Ovis aries: one gene and its partners. The protein of the gene in region 2 purifies or fractionates together with the protein of the main gene of each other region. This does not show direct contact. Links are inferred from orthologs where the notes say so. Each region holds a gene or a part of one and is shown on either strand. Other genes may lie near its edges.

Region 1 (3,449 bases), on a different chromosome or scaffold from region 2:
GGGTGGGGACAGTGGGGCTGGTTACCAGCTGCCCTGCAGCCTCTCCCGGCCCTGCACTGTTCCTAGGCCGACCTTCCACTCAAATGGTTGTGGCTGCCCAGCACACTCCACGTGCCTGTGGCATGCAGGTGGACATGGATTCTGTCCATGGCCTGGAGCTGAGCCTGCTCCATGCTGAGCCAGCACGGGGTATCTCCGCGCCTGTCCCAGGGCTGCCCTCTGGGGCTGCAGGAAAGCAGACTTACTTCTGAATGTAAATGAGGATGCCCAGCATGTACTGGTCCACCTCCAGGCCCTCCAGCAACGCCGTCTTGCTGTAGGAAACCAAGGGGACACAGCTCAGAAGGCTGGCCCGACCTCACCTAGGGCACGGGCCCCATCACATCTCTGACCCCTATGTGAAATGACCCTGTGTGAGGTCGCTGCCTCGAGCAGCACCAACCTTCCAGGCCTGTACTGTGAGCCCCACATCTGGGGCAGGCACTTCTCAGTGCTGATGGAAGGAAATGACTGTTAATAGTCCCTGAGGACATGCCACCCACCCCCAGAGCCACGGGGACCGTCTCTGACACACTCACTTGCACACAGGGCACCTCCAGGTCCCTCGCTCACAGTTAAGCTGTAAATAGGACTCCAGGTCAAAGCACTGCAGAGAAAGGGGAGACAGTTACTCACACTGGGGCTGGGGTAACCCGGCCCTGCAGTTCCAGGGACGTAGGGCTTATTTACTGCATGTTTGAGAAGGCACATGTGCCAGGCTTTCACCGTGGCACCATCCTCATGTAAGAGATAGGATGCCTACAGAGCCCTCACGGGAATGACATGTGGCCAAAGCAAGAACTGGCCAACTGTGCTGATAGGGAACAACCTCCAGGACATGGTATGGAAGAAAAACATGACGTACAGCGATGGGTATACTGCTTATGTAACCAAAAGGTGGGGAGTGAGGGGGAGGGTGCGGGTACTTGTCTACCCACAGTGCTTCTGCAGAAAGAACCTAAGGTGCTGCTCCTGGGGGCAAGGCAGGGAGCAGACTGTGCCCTGCATCCCCGATGCTGTTTGAAATCGGAGCCCCAGGACTTCCCTGGTGGCCCAGGTGGGTCCATGCTCCCAATGCAGGGGGCCTGGGTTTGATTCCCGGTCAGGGAACTCTATCTCACATGCTGCAACTAAGAGTTCACATGCCACAACTAAAGATTCTGCCCATAGTAACTGAAAGATCCTACATGGCCGCAACAAAGACTGAAGATCTGCACGCCACAACCAAGACGCAGTGCAACCAAGTAAGTAAGTAAAAGAGCAAATAAGTAAAATACAATGAAGTCCCAAGAACCCAGTAAAATGGCTGTTACACTTAGGATAACATTAGAAGAAACAAAAGCCCAGCCTGAGGGAAGAGGGCAGGGGAGCCAGGCTGCCCGTCCACTGACTGGCCTGCCCTGCCACCCACCAGCCGAGGTGCTCAGAGGCCACATCCACCAAAAACAGTTAAACGGCAGCAAAAGCTTTGGCAAAGCGCTGTGGTGACCACACACCTGTATGTGGCGACAGTCGTGGCCCCGGGCAGGGAGCTGGATCCTGCGGAAGGTGATGGGGCACTTGAGGGCCACCTTGATGGCCGTCTGCTCCACCCCATCCTCTCCGTTGGGCCCCGGGGTGCCAGGGATGGTTCCGCTGCTGAAATTCCGCTTTACTGACACCAACAGGGGAAAGCAGGATGTGAGCGAGGGCTGCCAAGCGGGACTAGGCCACTGCTAGCTCAGCACCTCTGAGGACCATTCTGGGACTGACCGCTACCCTCTGCATGGAGCCCCAACCCAGAGGAGACAGCCTTGTCTAACACGGGGACGTGCCAGGTGTGGCAATGGCCCCAGCAGAGCTGAGGAGCGCGAGGACCACTCACTCTTGGTGATGCAGTGCTCGGCGGGCAGGAGGCGCTTCTTGAGGAGGCCCTGCAGCACTGAGCGGACGGATGGCCGATGCACCAGCTGCAGCACGAAGAGGTGGGACTGCAACGGGAGGGATGTGGTCAGCGGGGTGCGGCCTGAGGAGGCTCGTGCTGGCCCACTCTCCTCTCACAGCTAATGCACAGGCAGGCTACTGCCGCGCCTCCCCGGGCAGTCAGGAGCCCACACCCACACCTATCGATAAAGCTCATGTGTATCCGCACCAGTATTCAACCATGGCCTCTCTGCTGAAACACAATTATTTGAGAGGCCCCTGAGTGCACCCTGCCTGCAGCATCCACTGGTATCCTATGCTGGGTCCACGTGATACCCCAGGCCCACAGGGCCGCATTAGGGCTGCCTTGCCTCCGCTCCCTCCCACCTAAGCTGATCAGAGCTGTGCATCTAAGTGCCTCTTCTAGTGCTGGATCTGGAGCTGCCAGAATCCAGATGACTCCTTAACAAGGATTCAGGGTCAGCTGGGACTCGGGACTTTGTGAGCTTCTTCCAGGAAAGAGGCAAGCTTAGTTTGCTTCTCTTACATAATTAACATTTGATGCTTACATGAGCATCAAATCTAGTTACTGAACCTAACCAGAAAGCTGCCAGTACATTTTTAACTGAGACCCTTTTCTCAAAGGCCTATCATGGGAAGGAAGAGAGCCAGTGCCATCTTCTTCAGTGATGATGGCCCCATCTTGCCCTGCTATGGGCACTCACACAGCAGCAGGCGGTGACAGTGATCTGGATGGTGTTGCGGCCCGGCTGGCACACGTGCTTCAGGTAGAGAGGCTTGTGGGAGGTCTTGTTGTCACCGCGCTCGATGGTGAGCGGGGTGGCATTGACGCTGACCTGCACGGAGGCCGGCCAGTTGGTGTTCATCTGCCGGTCCTCGTGGTGGTAGCACTTGAACTGCAGTTCCAAGTCAGGCCTGCATGGGGAGGACGGACGCTGAGAGTCAGGGGGCGGCGGGTGGGGCCGCGAGCCGTGGGGCAGGCGTCCGCTCACCTCAGCATCAGGGTCTTGTAGACGGAGTCTCGGAGCTGGAAGGCATGGTTGCTCACCGCCAGATTGTGCTGCAGGCGGAAGGGCTCCAGGACAACCCCGTCCCTCACGGGGAAGGTCAGCCGCAGCTCGTCACAGGGGCCGCTGCCTGGAAGTAGGCCACGCAGGTGTGAGCAGGCCACCGGCCCTTGATGGCCACCAGGCCAGGCCTGCCCCTTCCCCCATCGTGGGGTCCATGGTTGAGGGGAGTGTGGCCCCTCCTCCCCTTCCATGGGGCTGGGGCTTAGGACAGCATCTCTCTTAGGACTCTGGGCTCGGCCTTCACCTCCAATGGAAACAGGATCTTGGTGTCCTGCTATTCTTCCCTGCCTCAGTCGCCTAGCCCAATGATCCCTGCATCATGACTCTAAGAGAACACGCTCCCCACCCAAAAAGGTGGTGCTTCTGGTGCTTTCAGAGGGAGCAGGAGGCAGAAGGGGTGTCAACAGGCCACCTGCC
Region 2 (3,500 bases):
CCAACTTCTCTGAGATACATACGGAGTATAAGGCATACAATAAATTTGCAAAAATCTATAGAAGGACATGACACTGGGGGTCTCCAAGGCTCCATGACAACCACATTCAAAATAATTCTTTTACCTTGCTTTCCTGATTGCCGTAAGCTAAGATCTGAAGACAGTCTGTTGTAATAGCCAAGAATTTAACATTTGTTTTGTTGAGCAAGGCAACCATTTTCTGCAGCCCGCCAGCTAAACGCACTGCCATTTTAGCTCCTTCCTGATGCAGTAAAAGGTTGTGGAGAGTTGTAATAGCATAAAACAATACAGAATCCACTGGTGAACTGGGAAGAAGGAAAAAAGTCTCATCAGAAATGGTGTGACTGCACTCTTCTCCTCCTGAGCTTGGAGCATTCTGACCATGTTTTCTTACCCAAGCATCTTCACCAGGGCAGGAATGCCCCCGGATTTAAAGATGGCCAGCAAGCCCTCACGATGGTGGGAAAGATTGTGCAAGGTCCCAGCAGTACAGCGAGCTGTTTCCACGTCATTTGTGTTCTGCATGGTACGTACAATAGCAGACACCATCTGAGGAGAACGCATGATGGCGTGTCTGGAAGCTTCCTTTTTAGAAAGCTGATGGACCATAACTGCAGCCTTATTAACCACCACCTATAATATACAGGAATTAAGAAACATTAGTTTTCAATTTTCAAATACTGATGTAAGGTAGACATTTTAAGACTACTTCCTTGAGAGTTTCCTTCAAAGCAGATTAAAAAGTTGGCCATGTCTCTACTTACCTGGTCTTCGTCATTCAGCAGTTTTGTCAATTCAGGGATTGCACGTGTGGCAAGTTCTGCATCATCTTGGTAGTTAATTAAGTTTACAACGGCATGTTTCAGCATCTGTGATGGTTCAGCCAGACGCTGGACATTAGTGGGATGAGCAGCATCGAACTGTGTAGATGGGATCTGCATGCCCTCATCTAGCGTCTCAGGGAACATGGCAGCTCTCACCCTCTGAGCTCGAGTCATTGCATACTGTCCATCGATATCTGGAAAAGGTGAATTCGACAGTCAGATCTCCATGAGCTCAGCATCACCCCAACAGTCAAGCTGAGGCTGCAATCACTCCCTTTTCTTGACCACACTGTTTTACTTAAGCTGTTGTATGCTAACTTTTATAAGAGTAACTATGCAGTTCTCAAAACTGCACTCTAGCTTTGAGTAGGTAATAATATTCTTACCAGCTACTTGTTCTTGAGTGAAGGACTGAGAAAACCCCTGTTCCCACTCATACAGGACTTGGGTGGTATCCACATCCTCTTCCTCAGGATTGCCTTTACCGCTCAGAGAAGGCGCTGTGGTAGTGGCACCAGAATGGATTCCAGAGTCCAGGTAAGACTGCTGCTGCCAGTGACTGACAGCTGCTTTTCTGTCTGGCTCCATGGCCATGTCCAGCTCCATCAAATCAGCTATTAAAAAAAAAAAAAAAACCATCAATATTACTACCAGGAAAATGTTATCTTAATTTGAAAATAAAAATCTGTGATATTACCCACTGAAATCTTCAGAAATAAAGTCTGAAAGACAGCGAAGGATAACAGAATGATGGCCAGGATCAGCTCAGGGATGAAAAATCTATACTCTTAGGAGACCACCTAACAGTTACTCACTGAATCAGTGAAGAATGGTACTGCATCCAGGCTCCAGAAGCAGTCATCCAGACTAGATTCCTGCTGGTGGCTTGTTTGCTATTTCATCAAGCCATTAGGAGAAGTGGGCAGAAAATGGAGCAAAAGGTAGCCTGACAAGTAAGCAGGGAGAGAGGAAAGCAGGGGAATCTGAGCCAGACTGGGTTAATGGCAACGAAGCAGAGCCTCAATTTCAGTAACTAAAGTCTACAATACAAACCTTGGGTAGCCATTGTCCACGCAAGATTTTCAAAAAGGTAGTATGGTGTACTTCAGCGACCCTAAAAGAGTTAATCAAAGTCATTAGTATTTAAAATTTTTGATTTTAATACTTATAAGTCACTAGGATAGTCTGTCAAACATCACGGACTACATCCACAAAAAGCCCCAAATCCTCTTTTACCATGTGATACAGTGAAACACAGACCTTATGATCTCCTCTAAATACTTCAACCACAGCTCTATCACTGCCAGACTTTTAAGTTTTCACTTAAACTCTAATCAGCACCTCTTTGTATAAAGCCAGGGGAAAAAGGCTATTCAAAATCAACCCTTCTTTGGGTTTCAAAAGTCCTCTCCTTTCCCTTTTTAACTTCTTTCACTAAAAAAATCATAGGTCTTCTTTTGACAACAAACATCCAATGGGATTTTTAAAACGCCAAATTTCACTGAACAAGTCAACTGTTAAAACTGTCTTCTGATATTACAATGCCATCTAAAATATCATCATAAAGCAGGTATGGTGACTGGATCAGAACAGATTTCAGATGGTTTACTAAGAAGTAACATTACTTTTCCAATTAGTCTGTAACGCAAAATTAGAAGCACCATTTTTAAAACTTTCCTAAGTTCAAATTTATAGCAATGATTTATTATAAATACAAGTATTACTGTCTGGAATACTTTAATCAATATAAAAATCATTCACATATATATTAAAAATCTTAGCATCTAATTTTATGTCTCCATTTTGGCTTTTTTGTGTAATATTCAGGAAAATGCTGAATTATGCAGCTATTTGCAAATGACCAGTTTAAGAGCTCAGGGTCTCCAGATATTCCTAACAAAATTTCCTTCATTACAAAGTCTGTCCCTTAACAAGTTCACTTTGTACTACAAATTAAATATTAGATGTAAATTACCAATGTGGACTAGATATTTAAACGTGAAGTGTGTTTTTCATAAAACAATGTACAAAGAAGTTTAAATGTGTTTAATGCAGTTGGAAACTGTACTTTAAAGTCCTATTTTCTGTCCTATGTAAAGAAGTATGTGTTGATTATCCTGGAATTGCTCTTCCAAAACTGGATTTTTATAGCCACAAAGATCACTTGACACCTAAAGGTGACAAGAGCTGTGGATACAACTGTTTTATCATCCACAGTAGAAACAATTGACAGTTTACTTAGAAGGCAAAATGAAGGTCAGGATGTAACAAATGATTCCTGTCAATAAGAAACCTATATTTTAAAATCAAGTATTAAGCAGGATTATGTGTTCCATGTTTCCATTTAGTAGGATAGGACTGGGGTGTAGAAACTTGCATTTTTAATTAACACTCTAGTATGCAGAAAGCAATCTGTAAACCACATGGTAAGAAATATAATGACGGAAGAAACCTAGGTTCTTTGTCCACTTATGGCTGTATTTTAGCTCCTTATCTTTTGCCTATCTTTGAGACTGGTTATTTAACCCTTTCTTCCCCACCCCTTGGAAAAAATGGGTTCCCCATACCCCGTTCCAGCTAGGGAAGGGGACTTATATGTTCCACACTGAGCTCCTCCTCTGGCCAATGCCACAGGGCTCAGAAACCAACTACTCA
Region 3 (3,500 bases), on a different chromosome or scaffold from region 2:
AGATAAGGGGTTACCTTTAGGGTCTATTTAGGAGTCGCGGGGGGAGCAGTGGAGAGGGACACACCTCATCCCCAGGTATGTCACCAGCCTGGACCCTAGGCCCCCAGAGGAGACTATTTCTTCCTCAATTCTACTCCCAGCCTCCAGGGGATGCAAGAAAAGAGCTCCCATCCCCACCCCTTCGTCCAGGCTCTCTGGTTAGGGCTCAAGACCAGACCTTCTTGTTAAGCCTGGGGAGCCTGGAGTTCAAGGGGAAAGACATGCGACACCCAGTCTTTTGGGACCCTTCCTATTCTCTTGTTCTCATGCTTCCAGGAGCAAAAATAGAGCAGCTCTTCCTCTGTTTCTCTCCATGACTGCAGACACTCACCCCTCCCCTCATTTCCCCCATAAAAGAAAACCACTGCTCTCTTCACCCTACATGTTTGACTGGCTGGGCCTCCGCCACTGTCAGCACTTCAGCGCCAGGCAGGCTCCTCAGAAAACAGGACCCGGGAGAGGGGGTTCAGGGGACAGCCTGAGCCCCATCTGCCCTCATCTGGGAATGGGGTGAGGGGCTGGTGGTCACAAGGCAGTAACCCTGGATTCTCTCCCGGCAGGGACCTCGGTCATCCAGGTCACAGCAGTGGATGCAGATGACCCCACAGTGGCAGACCACGCTTCTGTCGTGTACCAGCTCACAAAGGGAAAAGACAGTTTCGACATCCGTGGCCCTGGTCCGTGTGACTAACCCCCCTGGGCAGCACTGGCTTGGAGCGGGTGGAGGTGTAGGCACAGAGGGAAGCCCAGTCTGACAGATGTCACCAAACACTGACTCGCAGTGTCCTGTGGAGGCGGTCGGTACCACGCGTCAAGACAAGGGGGCTGGTGAGGGCAGGAGGAGGCAGACAGGTGCCCAGGATGTAAACTCAAGTCCAGGGGACAAAAATCCACCCAAGCAGTGACACGAGAGGCAGACGAGAAGGCTAGTTAGCAGCTCTGGCTATGGAACCACACAGATCTGGTTTCCAACCCCATCTCTGCTGCTCACCACTTCTAAAGACCTTGGGCAAATCAACCAACCTCTGAGCACTGGCGAGTCCTCATGGTGAAAATGGGGAAGGTTATATGCACGCACCCCATACAGGAGCTGTGAAGTCTGAATTAGATGACGTATAAAGAGCATGTGGCTCGTTGTCATTAGCTATCACATGTGACCTAAAAAAACTGTAAGGACTGAGTCTTTGGAGAAAGACAAAAGTCCAAGTGGTCAGGCCTGGGGCATGCCACCATTCAGAACAATGGCGAATACACAACCTATGCTGCACTGAGGCATAACCCATCACAGCACTTTGCTCACTCTGAGCCTAGATGTGGCCTCAGGCTCTTTCTCGGCCCACAGTGGACAAAAGTGTTTGTGTGGCTTTGGCCTGACAGTGCAGGGCGTGGAGATGGGTGGTGGATGTCCCCTGGCTCTTGGCCCTGGCTGCACAGGGACGTCACCCAGGAGCTCTGAAGTCACGGCTCTCTGGGTAGCGTCTGGGCATCCATATTCTTTAAAAGTTCCTCAGGTAGCATGGTTCCTGACAGGACACATTTTGCAGGACTCATTGTCACCATGAACAAACACCTGGACCGAGAGACGCAGGATAAGTACGAGGTTGTGGTGGAAGCAGAAGACGCCCAGGGCCGCCGGGGGGAGTCAGGCACAGCCACTGTGTTCATCACTCTGCAGGACGTCAACGACAACTTCCCCATCTTCACCCAGTGTGAGCCCCTCTCCCTGGGCCCTGGTGGGGGCGGTGCTCTCAGGGAGGAGCCTGGCATCCATCCACCTCTCCCTCCACCCCAGAGTGAGCCTACATCAGAGATGGCTTCCCGGCGCTCCCCGTCTCTGCACATACTCCCAAGGCTGCACACCTGGCCTGCCAGGGCGCCCTCTTGGGCCAGCAGCAGATCATACTCTCTGTTGTGTCCCACATGCCCAGAGTCCCACTAACAGACAGGACCAGTTTCACCCAGTTTCCATGAGCTTGGGAAAACCCACGAGCTGGGGAGCCAGGGTTCAGCAGAGCGCCAGAGCCAGGGCTGGGCCCTGACCCACCCACAGACTGACTCTCCCCACAGGAAAATGTCCAACAGGAGCTCTTCACACGCGCTGGGTGGGGAGGAGGTCAGATAGGCTCATCACCTGCACCTCCAAGGCTGATGCCACTCAGAGGCTCAGCCACTGCAAGGACAGGCCAGCGTGCCCTGAAATGACCTCACTGTGAATGGTGAAAGCTCCTCAAAGGCAGGGCTTCTCCTCTTGGCAGTTGACAGATCCCCCAGCAAAGTGCCTGACATACAGGGGGTGCTTGATAACTACTTGTCAGATGGATGAAGGGATGAAAGGACAGATGAGTGGAACCTCTGTGCCTTGAGACCCAAAATTCCAGAGGAATTACTACTACTGCTTCTGCTACTTTATTGTGCCTGTTGCTTGTATCAGAACATACTGGGATAGTATATGCGACAATTACCTTGTCTACCTCATTAACCCCATGCCCTTTGGGGCACCCCTTCTGCATCAGCCAGGTACACATTTTCTGTGCCAGAAGACATCCGCGTGGGCAGCCCCCTGGGCTCTCTGTTTGTTGAGGACCCAGATGAGCCCCAAAACCGGAAGACCAAGTACAGCTTCGTGCAGGGCGAGTACAGGGACACCTTCACCATCGAGACGGACCCCACCCACAACGAGGGCATCATCAAGCCCATAAAGGTTCGCAGGCCTGCAGCTGTGGCATCAGATGGGGGACTGGGGGCCCTGGCATGCTCAGGACTCAGCCAGGGGCTGCTCCTGGGTCAGAGGCCACCAAAGGTCCACGTTTGGGCCAGCGTGGAGCAGGCCACGTGCTCGTGGATCCTGTGACCCTGGAGCTGGGACGTGGAGCCACGAAAGAAGGGTCAGTCCCTTGGGCTGGGCTACCCCAGAACCAGACCTTGAGGCAAGGACTTAGGTGTATACAGCTCATTTGGGGGGTGATCTCAGGAAGCCCCCAGGAGCAGTGAGATGTAAAAGGGAGGAGAGTTAAGACAGGCTCCTTAGTGAGCAGGTGATCACTGTGGGTGAGTGGGAAACGGTCCCACTGGGGACATCTAGGCAACTATGCGGAACATGCTTCTGAGTCGCAGCAGTTGTGGGCTGCCTGAGGGCTCCTGGGGGCCCACTTCCTGGCACTTTCTGATCTGCCCTGGGCGCTGGCGAGGACAGCCCTGGTAGAGTACAGGTGCTTGCAGCCAAAAGCTGTCAGTGTGTAAGGACACAGTGAATACCATGGGGATGGGGTGCCCACTGGCAGTGGCTGCTGCAGAGAGGGCAAACCAGCTGAATCTAGAAGAGGAGACAAGGTCTGCCGGGGGCACAAACTGCCTCCAGAATGGCCACGCCGAGGACTAGGGGGCCCAGGCCAGGGATCTCCTCCTCAGAGGGGACACTCGAACCTGTGTACCTGAGCCAGACCACTCCTCCAGCAGACCTC
Region 4 (2,988 bases), on a different chromosome or scaffold from region 2:
CCTGGGATCTGTGGGGTGCAGTGGGGGAGCTCGGGGGAGAGCTCAGCCCCATGGAAACACTCAAGCTCCCCGCCCTCCAGAAGCGGGTGCTGCCTGTCATCCTGCCGCCCATGCCCCAGCGGGTGTGCACCTACCACGAGCTGCGCTTCGCCTCCGTTCGGCTCCCCGGCTGCCCACCTGGCGTGGACCCAATGGTCTCTTTCCCCGTGGCCCTCAGCTGTCACTGTGGGCCCTGCCGCCTCAGCAGCACTGACTGCGGGGGTCCCAGAACCCAACCCTTGGCCTGTGACCACCCCCCGCTCCCAGACATCCTCTTCCTCTAAGGATGCCCCACTTCAACCTCCCATGCCCACCCTAACTCCCAAAGCCAGCAGACGCTCCTCCCCTCCCTTCCCAATAAAGACTTCTCAAGCTGCACTCTAGTGTTGTCTTTTTGGGGGCTTGGGTGTGTGCACCCATTTGTGCGCGCGCACACACACACACACACACACACAATGGGCCCAGTTTCAGAACCATTTTATACAAAGTCACAGTGTCAGAACTCTAGTAGAAAACGGGGGGTGGGGTGCGGTGGGGGGAAGGGTGATCAGCTCAGGAGGTGTCCATGGTTTCACCTTCTGTGAGAGAAGGAAAGCCACATGGTCAGCACGGCCCAGCAGGCAGGGCCAGGGCTCCCTCCTCCCTCTCCGGGGCAGGCACGGTGGGGGACACTCACTGAGCTCATTGAAGAGGAAGGCGTCTTGGTATTCCTTCATGTATTGCGTGGAGCGCGACTCGTCCAGGAAGAGAGAGTAGACCCGCTTGATGTCGTCCACCTGCACCTCGGTGCCCTGACGGGGGACACAAGACCTCAGGGGGGCCCCACCCAGGAGCCAGGTCATGTCCCACCACGGCCACCTCCTGGCTGTGGGCCCCGCCGCTCCATCCCTCAGTTTCTTCACCTGTAAAACGGACTTAACGGCATCCACTGCAGCCAACAGATATTTACCCAGCACCTCCCATGTGTCAGGCTGGGAGCCACAGAAAGAAACCCAAGGGCCTGAAGTTCCCACCTTCGAAAACTTAAGTTCTGGGACTAAATGCAACTGCCCAGGGAAAGCCCGGAGAGTAGCGTGTGGACCACTCACTCCTCTGACGCTGGCTGGACTCAGCGGCTCACCTTGCGTTTCCGGCACACCAGGCTGGCAGCCGTGATGAGCTGGATGGCATAGCGCAGCGAGGTCTCCAGCCCGATGCGGGTCAGAACCGTGTAGGCGTCCTCACTCATCTCTACATCTTCTTCCTCGCACCTGCGGGCAGGGAGGGGCGGGGGTGTTCAGCCAGGGACGGAGCCATGAGGAGTCAGAATCCTCGGAAGCCCAGAACACAGAGTGAGAAAGGCCACCGAGGCAGGAGCTGGACCTCAAACTCGGGCCTCCGGAGCCTCCCCCTTTCAGGGCTCTTTCCCCAGCGCCAGGCACCCGCACAGCCCCTCCCTTGTCCAAAAAGCCCCGCGCCCCCCACCAGAGGCCACTGCTAGGATGCCCCGCCCAGCCCTGCTTCTGGCAGGCCCAGAGACCTCCCCCGCAGACCTCAGTGGTCCCCACGTGTCAAGCAGGATGGACACCAGCCCCTCAGGCCGGCAGCCTGGTCCTGCCCGGGAAGGCCAAGGGCCCCTGCCCGCACCGGATGCGAAGGATCTGCTTTGTGTCTTTCTCGCTGTAGGGGGAGGTGGAGACGATGAGCAGACGGTCCAGCAGGTCAATGGGGATGCCGTGGGGGCTCTGGTAGCTGGTGCCCCGGATCCTGCAGAGGAGGAGGAAGGGAGGGCCATCAGGGTGACGCTCCTAGAACCCGGCTCTCCCCTCTCTACACTTAGAACACCCCACCCCACCCGCCCTCTCCGCCACAGCCCACTCACTGGGCCAAATACCGCTGAGCCTTCAGCTTAGGGCTGGCGTCACCACCTGACGTGGTAGCCACCCTCTGACTGCGTTGCTCCCCATCCAGAGCCAGGCTGGTCTGAACTAGAGATCTAGGTCTGGGATTACTGGATCAAGGTCCCACTCCTCTGCTGGACCCAGAGCTCCACAAGGGAGGGACTGGGCCCACCCTGTACCCTCACTGCACCTGGCCCAGCACAAGGTCAGGCACGTGGCGGGTACCAGGAAATAGCAGATTCCTGTTATGTGTGGGAGCTGTGATCTATAACTGGGGGCGATCACTCAATTAGCAAGTACTGAACCACCGCCCATGGAGGAAACAGTAACACATGGCTAGGCTCTTGGCAGCCTCTGTCACAATTTTTGGCCACCAGATAGCTTGGTTTCAGGTGTTTCTGTTTAAAGACACCCGATTCAGTATATATTATTGACTTTTCATGCTGAACTCATGCCCACAGCCTCTGAACTTGTGCCTGACGGATGCTATCTAACAACTGTTTTCTCTATACGGTCCATCCCTGCTGTGCTCAAAGACATTAGACAGCTAGCGGACATTTTATAATTTGTTTCATTTTTTGGCTGCTCCACACAACATGTGGAATCCTAGCTTCCCAACCAGGGATCGAACCCTTGCTCCTTGCTTTGGAAGTGTGGACTCCCAACCACTTGACTGCCCGCTAAGTTGCCTAGGGGCCATTTTAAACCACAAAATCATCAGGAACAAACAGCACACAGTGTGACGCCTGTGGCAACAAGTAGACAAAGAAAAGGACGCCTGATTGCAGCCCGTGAGCTCAAACTAGGAGGCGGAGCACTGCCTGCTTTGACCCTCGCCTGGACTGTCTGCTGTGGGCCATTCAATTTTTCCCTGCTCTGCACACATCCGTGAGTGACCGCCAGTGTGGCAAATATCGATTTGGGAGCTACAGATCATCTGTAGCGAATAAGCAGAATCACAAATATGGAACCTGCAGGATAATGAGGAGTGACTGGGTTTGCAGCCTCTCACAGGTGATGCCCCCGATCCCATGGCCTGACCTGCAGCTGCTACAAACACGCTCATTTG
Region 5 (2,554 bases), on a different chromosome or scaffold from region 2:
TCTAGGTGCTTCAGGGTAACTAGCAACAGTTAACTATATGGTGCTAGTTACAGGCATAATACAAGTATCTAACATTTGCTGGGTGCTTATTAATGCAGAGCACTGTCCTTGGTAACTTGTATCCATCCCATCTAACCCTTGAAGGTAGCTACCACAATTAACCCCATTTTACACACCAGTAACCGGGGGTGCAGCATCACACAGCTGATTAGTGAGTAAAGGCAGCACAGGCATGTAGGTCCCTGGAAGCTGGCTGCGGAAGCTAGGCTCTAACCACTAGGCGGCAGAACACTAACTCATTTTTTTGTTGTTAAAGGGGTGTGGGGGGGGTGGTTGGGGGTGGGGGAGTGATCAGTATTTTAACTAATTGGCCTCCTAATAGAGTTAGGAGAATCAAAATGAAAGCTGAGAAAGGAAGAAAAGACTGCAGGCCGAACAGAGGCCATAACCCATTCTTTTGCTTATCTTCAAACTTAAGAGCTAAAGCAGACACGTAAGAGTTTTTAATTTGCCAGATATTCTTTTAATGAGAATTATAAAAGACCAAAAACATTTTTTTGCAAACTGCTTTTTAAACAAATGATTTGCTTTTAATTACAAATACTGTGTGAGACGATGCCTTCTTTTGCAAAACCAATAAACACAAGAACAAATTTTAAACATATGTGATTTGTCCAAGATATGTGGGGGGAACGGAGAGCCTGATTTTTTTTTTCCCCAGTATTAAAAAAAAAAAATCAGTACTCCCTAACCTTACAAAGAATAAGTCTGAAGGTATGACTCAACTGGAGAAGAGAGGGAGACCATTTTAGAGCTGCTTTAACTAGTTTGATAATTCTTCTGATGTTATCTTTCCTGCTTTAACTAGTTTCTGACAATTCTTCTGATGTTCCTTTCTGAAACTCGTATCTTCACAAAACAGTTGAATTTAAAATATTTCTAATGAACTGATTAATGGGGGAAAAGAAAATATGTATCGAACACATGTATAAATTTTACCATCAACAATTATGCATATCAAAAAGACACTAACTTTAAAAGGTACAAAAAAAAAAGTGAGGAAAAACCTGAATTACAGAAAAGAAAGTCAAATTTATTTAATGAAAAACTATAATTAATAAAAATTAGCAAATACACACAGAAAAAAAATATACACACACAGCAGCACTATGTATTGACTCACATAGGGGAAAAGCAGTGGTCCAAGACCACTCAACATGGCTTGTCAGTTGAAGGAAAAAAAAATCCAAACATACTCACACGCGCACACACACACGCACAGGCACACAAAAAAACAAGAACCCAGTATTTTTCAACGGTACACTCAATCTACAACAAACACAAATTCAGAATTATGTTACAATGCTTCCTTTCTTAATACAAAAGATGCCCATCTTGGGTGTATATATATATATATTTATTTTTCAGTGGTTTACTGTTGACTTATTTTTAAATATATTAGTGTTATTACATGCAACTGTTTCCTGTATTTAACAGCCTTTCCTTTTATTTACCTTCATGTGTCTAGCTTCCACCTACCACAAGTTTTTGGTTGGTAGGCAGACAGGTGCCTTATTCTCTGTGAAATCAAATGCAATGGTTTTAAACACTGGCCAGAAAATGTCTGATTGCCATTTCAACACATGGAAATAGTTACATTGATGCCTAAATTGCCATTTTCTGCAAAGAGCTGTGCAATGCTGGTGTCAAAGACTAGGCAGTCACTATTCATAATGGCTGTTGCAATTCCCTCATGAATAGACCGAGGAGTGGCTTCCCAAGTCAATCGCCGCCTATGACCATTTAGCTCAAGTCGATAAGCAAAATTTTCAGCTTGCTTGCGTGTTCCTATCAGCTGTACAATTGCAAAGAATTGCTGGTGACCATCATATTTTTCCTGTTTCTCCAAGACCAACATGAAGTGAAAGCCAAAACAGGACTGCATCATCACCCAGTCAACAGCACCAGGAAGATTAATGTCTGTAGCAAGGAAAACTATGTCCTCTCCCTGCAGGGTTGTGATGGACTTATGCTGATGCATCAGATGCGGCATGACAGCATCCAGAGAGCCTTGCCATTTACAGGAAGCACCAGGGCACGGACAGGAATAAGGCCTAAACTCACAGAGCTCTTCGTGGTCTGCTTTTTCTGTGTGTGGCAGAGTTATTTCACATCCAGAAGAGGCGTATTTACAAGGGAAAAGTACTGAATTGGCCACTTTCTCCATAGCCAAGTTGCGAATGGATCCCAACGGGCCCCGGCAAGTTGGACAACATGTGAGCTTTGGGCGACAGTTGCTGCAAACCAGATGGCCACTCTGGCACTGGAGAATAGGTGGCAGCACATAGTCGAAGCAGACCGGACACTCAAAGAGGCTCGCCAGGTCATTGTTGGAGGCAGTTGTGCCCGTCAGGGCAGGCACCCTCTGGGACGGCGCACACTTTGAGGTTCCGGTAGGTAATGCTGTTGCAGTCTGACGGCTCATTTCTGTAATAAAAAACACAAATAAAAGTATAAGGAGGCAGGAGAAAATTAATTACAACTATAACATGTT
Region 6 (4,234 bases), on a different chromosome or scaffold from region 2:
AATAACACTTAAAAATATGGTTCACTATGCTGCTGATTCAGCATCATTAGGGCGAAGGTTGTTCCTGTGCTGCAGCCTAGCGGAATGATTTGGTATAAAAATGACATATTCCAGGAGCACTGGCTTATCACTTGCTGCAAAGTAGGTTAAGAAACATATGAAATAGTTCATATGTCCAATATCCCCCAGTTAATAGATACTTTGCCTCAGTCATTTGTTTACATGTGTTATTAAATGAAGATCAAAAGATGGATTCTAGACTCTGAACAGAGTTCACACAGCTGGAATTAACCTTTTCAGTCTCAAACACTCTCTTTTTTTCAAGAAAAAAATAAAAAGCCTCTTTCCAATACACTTTCTTAATATTGTGCCAGTAATGTATATCTCTCTAGATAGAAAGTCAATTTTCTATCCTTTTTTTTCCTTTAGAAAATCTTAGTGTAAGTGGAAATATAACAGTATAATACTAAACTGGATACCTGTATAGTACCATTCTTATCAATACACAGCTAGGTTTTATAAACATCTAGGTCTATCACCTGAAGTATTAATCAGGAATCAAGCAATTTGACCACTGACTTCACACATATACATGCCTATGTGGATGCCATACAGATTATGTGCTCCTTTCCCAAGTCCCTGGGATTTCTCTCTCTCTCTTTTCTCCCCCTTTTCAGGCATGTAAGTGTATGGAATTCTATTCTTTGATTGGAGTCAGAAAAGACATACGCATTCACTAGGGAAGTCAATTTGTTAGCAGCAAGTATTTGAAACCAAAGAAGTATCTGATTTAATGAAAGCAGACATTCACTCATACTCTAAAAACACATAATTTTTTTAAGTGAAAGCAAGTTAAAGAAGCACTTCTTTATGTTTTCATGATCAGAATGGATCTGTATTTGTTATGTTCCTAAGACACAAACACACTCTGCTTAGATCAGAGCACACTCCAATGCCTTTGCTCCACAGCCCACCCCACTCCCAATAAATCACTATTTCCTTATGCATTACACATTGAATACAAACGTGCCACCTTAACTATGCTGTAGGGAGAGGGGCAAGAAGATTAGGTATCTAACTTGTCATTTACCTCTTTCTCTATGATACAGCCCCCTTCCTATTTTCATCACTTTAACTAAAAATGAATCTAGAGCTCTTGTCAGTGACATAATGTTTTCATGAAAGTTCTACTAATTAAAAATCCTCACCATACCAGACCTAAAAAATGAGCACACTCTTGCCAAGTGTTATTCACCACAGAGAAGCTCTTGTAGTTACATTTTAAAGGAGGACCCAGAGGAAGATGCTGTGGAGGGAGAAAGTCTACTAACATATACATTGAGGTTTACCAGTTGTCAGCATCAGAGGGACAGACTATTTTTAATAGAGATCCTTCAAGAAAACAACAACAACAAGAAAAAAAAGAAAAGAAAACATCCATCTCTGAACAGCTGAGCATAAGACATGTGCAGTTTCGGATAATAGAAGCTTTTACTGGAATAAAGAACCACAATTACAGGAAATAGATCTGTTTTTTTGGAAGCAAAAGATGAGAGGTCAATTTTAAATTGATGTTTGTCTTTGCACCTGTAGACTCCTCTTTTTAATGATAAGGAGATGGTGGTTTTTATTGCATTGGCAGGAAAACACTTTCAGACTACTGCTTTTGCCCATACTTACAGTGCTATCAATAGTTACTTGTCGGGGACATGCATTTAGTCTTGCAATGTGCTGCATTAATTTAACACCACATAAAATATGGATTTTATTGCAGCAGAGACAATAAATGCTGCAACTGCTGACTATATGCATTTCATCTCCCCTCTTCATCTTTCCTCTCTCATACTTCTGACTCAGACACAAAATGCGAATCTAGGAATTATGCCTATTCTATTTCTGATAAGTGCCAATCTTTCTTATTTATGTAGATGCTTAGTGACCATTGACAGGTTCAAGGAATCTGTCTTCTGCCTGTCATTTCTCCTTATATTGAACCTACAATGAACTATGACTATAAATAAGTGCAGAGGGGATCCATTCATATGGAATGCAAAGTAATGTTCAATGATAGAGTTCAAAGCAACAATCTTCTCTTCAAGGGATTTTTAACATTAAGACGAACAAGCATGAGCATAACAAATTACCCTCCATAATATATTATTAGCATTTGATCAGAGTGAATGAATTCACAAACTCTAACAACATAACCCACTGTTGAGCATAAATATGTAATTTATCCAGTTTCACATTACCTCTTCGGCTATTCAAAGCAGTGGTTTCTAGAATACAATATATAGTTTTATGCTTAGTAATTTTTTAACATGTTAAAGATAATTATTTGAAAATAACTGCCGAATACAACTTAAAAACAAACATTCTCCCCCAGGGAGAGAAAATAAGAGACCTTAAGGGAGTTAGGAAAAAAAAGAGAGAGAGAGAGATGAAGTCTTCCTACCTTTTTTTTATCAGCTTCTGGATAACGGAAGTTGGTTCCAGCCAAAATAACCCTGGAGAAATTGTCACTATATCCCCTTTTTGTTTGTTTTCGGCTATTTCCTATTACTGATTCTACTTCAATCTAACTCAAGCTTTCTCTCAGCATCACTTTTAACTCTGGACGGCAGGGAACCGAAGAAACCGGGGGGCGAGTTCTCTCTGATTGGCTTTCATTCAGTGCTTCTGATTAAGGGGGGGAAAAAAAGAAAAGAAAAGGAAGGAGGGGGAAAAAAACCCTTCCTCACTCGGAGAGAAAGGTTCTGCTGATAGAGCTGCAGCACTCGCCATGGGAAGGTTAGAGACTGGGGAAGTGCTGGCTTTTGCTCGCACACAGCGATTTGCAAGTGAATGCGAGGGGAGGGCGCATCCGAGAGGAGGGCTTCGGATGAAAGGCGTCCCCTCCCCCGCAGGGCAGAAAGACTCTCTGTTTCAAGGCTAAGGTAATCAGCCCGATCTAATCCGGCTGTGTCCGCAATGCAATCTCAAGAACGGGACTGCTTCTCGCAATTCTTTTTTAATAGATACTTCTTCTTCATCTGACATATATATCCCTGCACCATCCTTAACTCCAGATCGCCGAAATCCATGAAGCGAGTGCCAAGTCAAATTGCAACCAGATCTGAATCGTTACCGGAGTGATTTTGGTTGCGGTTTGAATTAATATTTATTTTTGCTTTCAGTGAACTTTCTTTTCCTTGGTTCTCCAAATATTTTATTTTTTTATCGCTTATGGTCATAGGAGAACATACCTTGCTCGTCGTTTGGGGATGTTCGTGAGCTAGTCTTGTCTGCTTAATCTTACCTGCTTTGCCTTTTGATTTGATAGATATAATATTTTATTCATGATGTAAATATGCAATTAACGCTATTAAAATATTTAGAGTTGGGGCTGGACATCGTTTCCTTTCTTGTTTTTCTTTTTTTTTTTTTTTAACTTTTTTTTTTTTTTTTCTCAGAAACTTGAGTGTCATGCCCAAAAGCGGGGGGAGGAAGGCAGATATACATTTGGGTGGTTCTGTTTACTTAACCATCTAACTATTTATCGCTCTATTTATTTATCTCGACGTTAAATTGGAATCAACCAAAACCTTACCAAAGGATGTCAGTATAGCTCCACAAAATAATGAGCGTTTTTATATTTTTCTGGCTTCATGTAGGTTCCTTTTTAAATAAATAAATTACATTAACATACTATAAAATAATAATATAATATAAAAATAACTGTAAAGCTGAGGGAGGATTATGAAGATAACTTTTTAGAATACATACTACTGCTCAGAAATAGTAAATGATCTACTTAAGGACACAGAGCTAACTCGTGACAGAATAAAAACTAGAATGACAGTACATATTTTATATTTATATAGACATATTAAACATATAACATATATACTTATGTGTATTTAGAATTTCAGTTTAGTACTGTTTCTGAAATGTCATACTACTGCCTGGGTACCTATTTTATTATTCTAGCATCTGTAGGCCTCTTACATGTGTGTGTGTGGGTGCTCAGCCACATCGGACTCTTTACAACTCCTTGGACTGTACAGTTCGCCAGGCTCCTCTGTCCATGGAATTCTCCAGGCGAGAATTCTGAAGCGGATTGCCATTTTCTAATCCAGGGGATCTTCCTGACCCAGGAATCGAACCTGTGTTTCTTGTATCTCCTACTTTGGTAGGAGGATTCTTTACCATTGAGTCATCTGGGAAACCGCAGGCCCCCTAGCATAATGGGAAA
Region 7 (3,500 bases), on a different chromosome or scaffold from region 2:
GTTAGGCGGCCCATTTTATATTTTAGAAAACTGAGACTCAAAAAGGTTTCAGCCAGCAGGCCTGGACTCCTTATTCACAATGTGTCACAAATCACAATGCAATTCCATGGTACCTGTCTGTGCTTCTACTGAAAAGTAGGGTTGTCCTTCCAGGATGCTGTACACTAACTTGGCACTGTTTCCATAGGTGGGGTCATCTGCGTCTGAAGCTGTCACCTGGATCACTGACGTTCCTTAAAAGTGAAACATTCATTAGAGACAATCCCTCCGCTTTTCAAATTCTATTCTAGTTTGCAAATTTTGTCTTAAGATTAAAAACTAACGAGAGCCCCCATATTATTCAATATGCTTTGATTTTCCAGACTGAGATGCAAAAATAATTTCCCTTCCTCCTCCCTCCCTTTTTAATCCTAATAGCTTAAAAATGAACTTTCTATATTCATAGTGCATCCTGCTATGCTTAGTAGTTAAAATAATAATGTGAACATTATTGCAAAAACATTCTAAGGCCCATGCAACTGGAATGTTCAGTATATCAAATAATTAAATAAAAATCTTCCCAAAGAGTATAATAAAGGATAATTAATGATGAATTGCTTTTCATGAAAGGACAGAGTGCAGTCTTCCATCTGTAGCAGAGCAATAAATACATCATTTTATTGTTGCTTTGCATGTAATAAAATGGCTGCTAATACTACATTTTAATTAATTTATGGTCATAAATATTGTACAGAATGTTGTTCCCTACTGGCATGAAAATTGCATCTTCCCACCTCCAATGGGTCTGGTAGTCACACAACAGAAATCACCAGTAGACATCTGGTGAGATCTAAGGCCAGCAATTGCGAGCCGCAGTGGAAAGAAACCAGCGAATTGAAAGAAGAGGGGATTCTGTTTTTCAGAGGAAAAACCGTTGTTCCTTGATGGTTCAGAATGGGGCAGGGGAGATGGTCAAGGGAGAGGGCTGGTGATTATAGAATTCCTCTGTGCCAAGCACTGTCTGGGGCATGTTCCAAGTATTCTGCCCCTCTGCTAGGTGCTTTCTACTGGTTCATTGTACTTGTGAGTTACTGAGTATAACAGGTAGGAAGTTCTGCAGTCTGTTTTGCAAAGTGGGTCACTGTCAGAGTCAGGATACTGACCTCTACCCAGCAAACAACCAAGCCCAAGTTCTTTCCGTGACAGTTTCAACAGAGGAGCCAGGTTCTACACGAGTGGCAAGGCAGGCCACTTATACAGCCCCCTGATCTACAAGTTTGCTGGTGATTTTCACACAGTGTAAGAACAAATTTTACTTTTTAAAAAAATTCTGTAATTCATTTTTTCATACAAACAACTTTGGGGGGAGGATTCTTCCCACAAAACTAGGTACTATTCTAAATCATGGACATTTGTAATAGCATTAGTAAGCTCTATTCTCTACTTTCACAGTAGAGCTTGTCAAAGTATTATTTTTTATGCTTAATTTACTTCAAGAAATCCACTAAGTTCATTACAACTCTTTGTATTTTACATCTATGTTTATTTAACCCTCATCAGAGTTTACATTATCCTCATGTGATAGACGACAAAATGAAAACTGAGAAAGATGTAAGATGTTGTCTGGGTTGACCTGGTTGGTCAGAGGCACAGCCATGATTCCAATCCAGAACTGTCTGACAGCAGACAACTCTCATAGGTCACGATGCAAAGTCTGATATTAATCCTTAAGCACTAAGCTGCCCTAAGACATGGGGTCAATGAAAATTTCCCTGGAGCATCCTTTTTGATGACTGGCCTTTTCCCCCTGGCTCAGCTGCTGTTGTCCTCTATTTAATGATTTCTTTGATGTCTGCTGTTTCTCATTAAAAGTCCCCAGGTGACTACTGAGAAACTAAAGAATTGGGCAAGGCAAAGAGAAGATAGAATAGACCCAGGTGAGTTTTTATAAAGTATGAGAAGGGTTTCACGTTAGTTGGAGGAGAAGAGGGCTTTTTTTTTTTTTTTTTTTTTTTTTTTTGCACCACAAGCTCTATATGCAAAGTGGAAGGAGTAGAGTTTTTTTTAATCTTTTTTTATTCGGCTGCCCCCGGTCTTAGGTGCTTCATGAAGGATCTATCGTTGCAGTGTGCAGACTCTCTGGTTGTGGCTCATAGGTTTAGTTGCTCCAAGGCACATGGGATATGAATTCCCTGACCAGGGATTGAACCCACATCCTCTGCATTGCAGGGCAGATTCTTAACCACTGGACCACTAGGGAAGTCCCGAGGAGTAGAGATTTAGAGTTACTTCTGTGTCCTACTTTCTTGAGCAAATTGATTCTCAGTCTCTGTGCTTGGTTTTCTCATCTGTAAAATGGGCAGTTTGGCCCTGATGATCCTTAAGCTCATCAGAACTTTAAATCTCTGATTTCATAACTGTATTTACTCCCTGATCAGAACAGCCCTGGTCACTGTCTGAAAAGCAAACCCTTCTTAATATGAGGCATGCTTCTCAAAAGCAAGTACAACAACCTGCATTCTATAAAGCGAAACAAGAATTATTGCCAGGAGAATTGTCCACTCACAATGTTAGGTGTCTGTATGCATGATGAAAGACATAGCTGCTTATGAATTATTCTAACAGATGGTGACACAGTGTCATGGTGAGGTGTATATACTGGATCCACTTAATAGCTCAGATGACCTTGAATAAATTATAATTAACTTGTTTCTAGCTTTGGTTTCCCATTTGCAAAATATGTCAAATAGGACCTACCTCATTGCAAAGATGAGTCACTGCAAAGATTAAATGCAACAGGGCATGTAAATCATTAATGAGCACTGTGTTGACATGCTACAAACTCTGCCGCTATTACTTATTCAACACCAACATGCACTAGTGACCAGATGTATACTATTTATAATCCTACATGAGTAGAAACTTTTAGTCCCATTTTACAGAGGAGAAGCTCAGGCTAAGAGAACAGATAGAACTGATTCCAAGTCAAAAGGTTAACAAGCACCAGGGCCAGGATGGCCTGGGTTCCATCACATTTTTCCTATTCTTCTATGCCTCCTCATGTTTTGTAAGGTTACAGTTTAAAAACTCAGGGCAATTTAAAATATTTGAAACTTCAACTATAGACATGAAATGTTTTTTGTTGGTTATTTTGAACACAGAAGCTACAGCATAAATTCTATATCCCCACTTGGGAGAATGGGCACCAGCCCACCCACCTGCAGAGACACCAGGCCTGCAGGTGGAGCAGGTCCGTCCTCCCCCTCCCTTACGTACCCACGTTGGACCTCTCGGGCACGTTGGCATGATAGGTCTCATGTAAGAACTCAGGAGGGTTGTCATTAATGTCCTGGACCTTGACGATGAATTCCGACGGTGGCTCCAGGGGCCGGTTGGTGTCCCTGTCCACCGCCTGAGCCATCAGCGTGTACTGGGCTCTCTCCTCTCGGTCCAATGTCTTGGTGGCATGAATGTTCCCTGATTTGTCATCAATCACAAAAATGGTTCCGGCTCCTTCACCT

What was found.
Region 1: the proteins of CTNNB1 (region 2) and ZMIZ2 purify together in Homo sapiens (affinity purification with western blotting; 3 studies listed by BioGRID, with this or other methods). This does not show direct contact. The link is inferred for Ovis aries from reciprocal best matches to the Homo sapiens genes CTNNB1 and ZMIZ2.
Region 3: the proteins of CTNNB1 (region 2) and CDH5 purify together in Homo sapiens (affinity purification with western blotting; 11 studies listed by BioGRID and IntAct, counting the BioPlex papers as one, with this or other methods). This does not show direct contact. The link is inferred for Ovis aries from reciprocal best matches to the Homo sapiens genes CTNNB1 and CDH5.
Region 4: the proteins of CTNNB1 (region 2) and RUVBL2 purify together in Homo sapiens (affinity purification with mass spectrometry; 5 studies listed by BioGRID, with this or other methods). This does not show direct contact. The link is inferred for Ovis aries from reciprocal best matches to the Homo sapiens genes CTNNB1 and RUVBL2.
Region 5: the proteins of CTNNB1 (region 2) and SIAH1 purify together in Homo sapiens (affinity purification with western blotting; 4 studies listed by BioGRID). This does not show direct contact. The link is inferred for Ovis aries from reciprocal best matches to the Homo sapiens genes CTNNB1 and SIAH1.
Region 6: the proteins of CTNNB1 (region 2) and CDH10 purify together in Homo sapiens (affinity purification with mass spectrometry; 3 studies listed by BioGRID and IntAct, with this or other methods). This does not show direct contact. The link is inferred for Ovis aries from reciprocal best matches to the Homo sapiens genes CTNNB1 and CDH10.
Region 7: the proteins of CTNNB1 (region 2) and CDH11 purify together in Homo sapiens (affinity purification with western blotting; 3 studies listed by BioGRID and IntAct, with this or other methods). This does not show direct contact. The link is inferred for Ovis aries from reciprocal best matches to the Homo sapiens genes CTNNB1 and CDH11.

Annotation. Positions count from the first base shown.
Region 1 is NC_056057.1:78,409,176-78,412,624, forward strand, and holds part of ZMIZ2 (zinc finger MIZ domain-containing protein 2), read right to left. Parts: intron 3,100-3,449; coding exon 2,955-3,099; intron 2,878-2,954; coding exon 2,667-2,877; intron 2,010-2,666; coding exon 1,904-2,009; intron 1,694-1,903; coding exon 1,536-1,693; intron 647-1,535; coding exon 579-646; intron 315-578; coding exon 246-314; intron 1-245. UniProt on the Homo sapiens protein: Increases ligand-dependent transcriptional activity of AR and other nuclear hormone receptors.
Region 2 is NC_056072.1:13,853,880-13,857,379, reverse strand, and holds part of CTNNB1 (catenin beta-1), read right to left. Parts: intron 1,960-3,500; 5' UTR 1,912-1,959; coding exon 1,899-1,911; intron 1,460-1,898; coding exon 1,232-1,459; intron 1,040-1,231; coding exon 786-1,039; intron 655-785; coding exon 416-654; intron 327-415; coding exon 125-326; intron 1-124. UniProt on the Homo sapiens protein: Key downstream component of the canonical Wnt signaling pathway.
Region 3 is NC_056067.1:33,719,338-33,722,837, forward strand, and holds part of CDH5 (cadherin-5), read left to right. Parts: intron 1-599; coding exon 600-716; intron 717-1,583; coding exon 1,584-1,748; intron 1,749-2,552; coding exon 2,553-2,740; intron 2,741-3,500. UniProt on the Homo sapiens protein: Cadherins are calcium-dependent cell adhesion proteins. They preferentially interact with themselves in a homophilic manner in connecting cells; cadherins may thus contribute to the sorting of heterogeneous cell types.
Region 4 is NC_056067.1:55,312,493-55,315,480, reverse strand, and holds the end of RUVBL2 (ruvB-like 2), read right to left. Parts: intron 1,786-2,988; coding exon 1,666-1,785; intron 1,290-1,665; coding exon 1,160-1,289; intron 831-1,159; coding exon 716-830; intron 618-715; coding exon 592-617; 3' UTR 501-591; downstream 1-500. UniProt on the Homo sapiens protein: Possesses single-stranded DNA-stimulated ATPase and ATP-dependent DNA helicase (5' to 3') activity; hexamerization is thought to be critical for ATP hydrolysis and adjacent subunits in the ring-like structure contribute to the ATPase activity.
Region 5 is NC_056067.1:16,326,995-16,329,548, forward strand, and holds the end of SIAH1 (E3 ubiquitin-protein ligase SIAH1), read right to left. Parts: intron 2,488-2,554; coding exon 1,637-2,487; 3' UTR 501-1,636; downstream 1-500. UniProt on the Homo sapiens protein: E3 ubiquitin-protein ligase that mediates ubiquitination and subsequent proteasomal degradation of target proteins.
Region 6 is NC_056069.1:48,986,110-48,990,343, reverse strand, and holds the start of CDH10 (cadherin-10), read right to left. Parts: upstream 2,801-4,234; 5' UTR 2,456-2,800; intron 1-2,455. UniProt on the Homo sapiens protein: Cadherins are calcium-dependent cell adhesion proteins. They preferentially interact with themselves in a homophilic manner in connecting cells; cadherins may thus contribute to the sorting of heterogeneous cell types.
Region 7 is NC_056067.1:32,319,393-32,322,892, forward strand, and holds part of CDH11 (cadherin-11), read right to left. Parts: coding exon 3,256-3,500; intron 234-3,255; coding exon 114-233; intron 1-113. UniProt on the Homo sapiens protein: Cadherins are calcium-dependent cell adhesion proteins. They preferentially interact with themselves in a homophilic manner in connecting cells; cadherins may thus contribute to the sorting of heterogeneous cell types.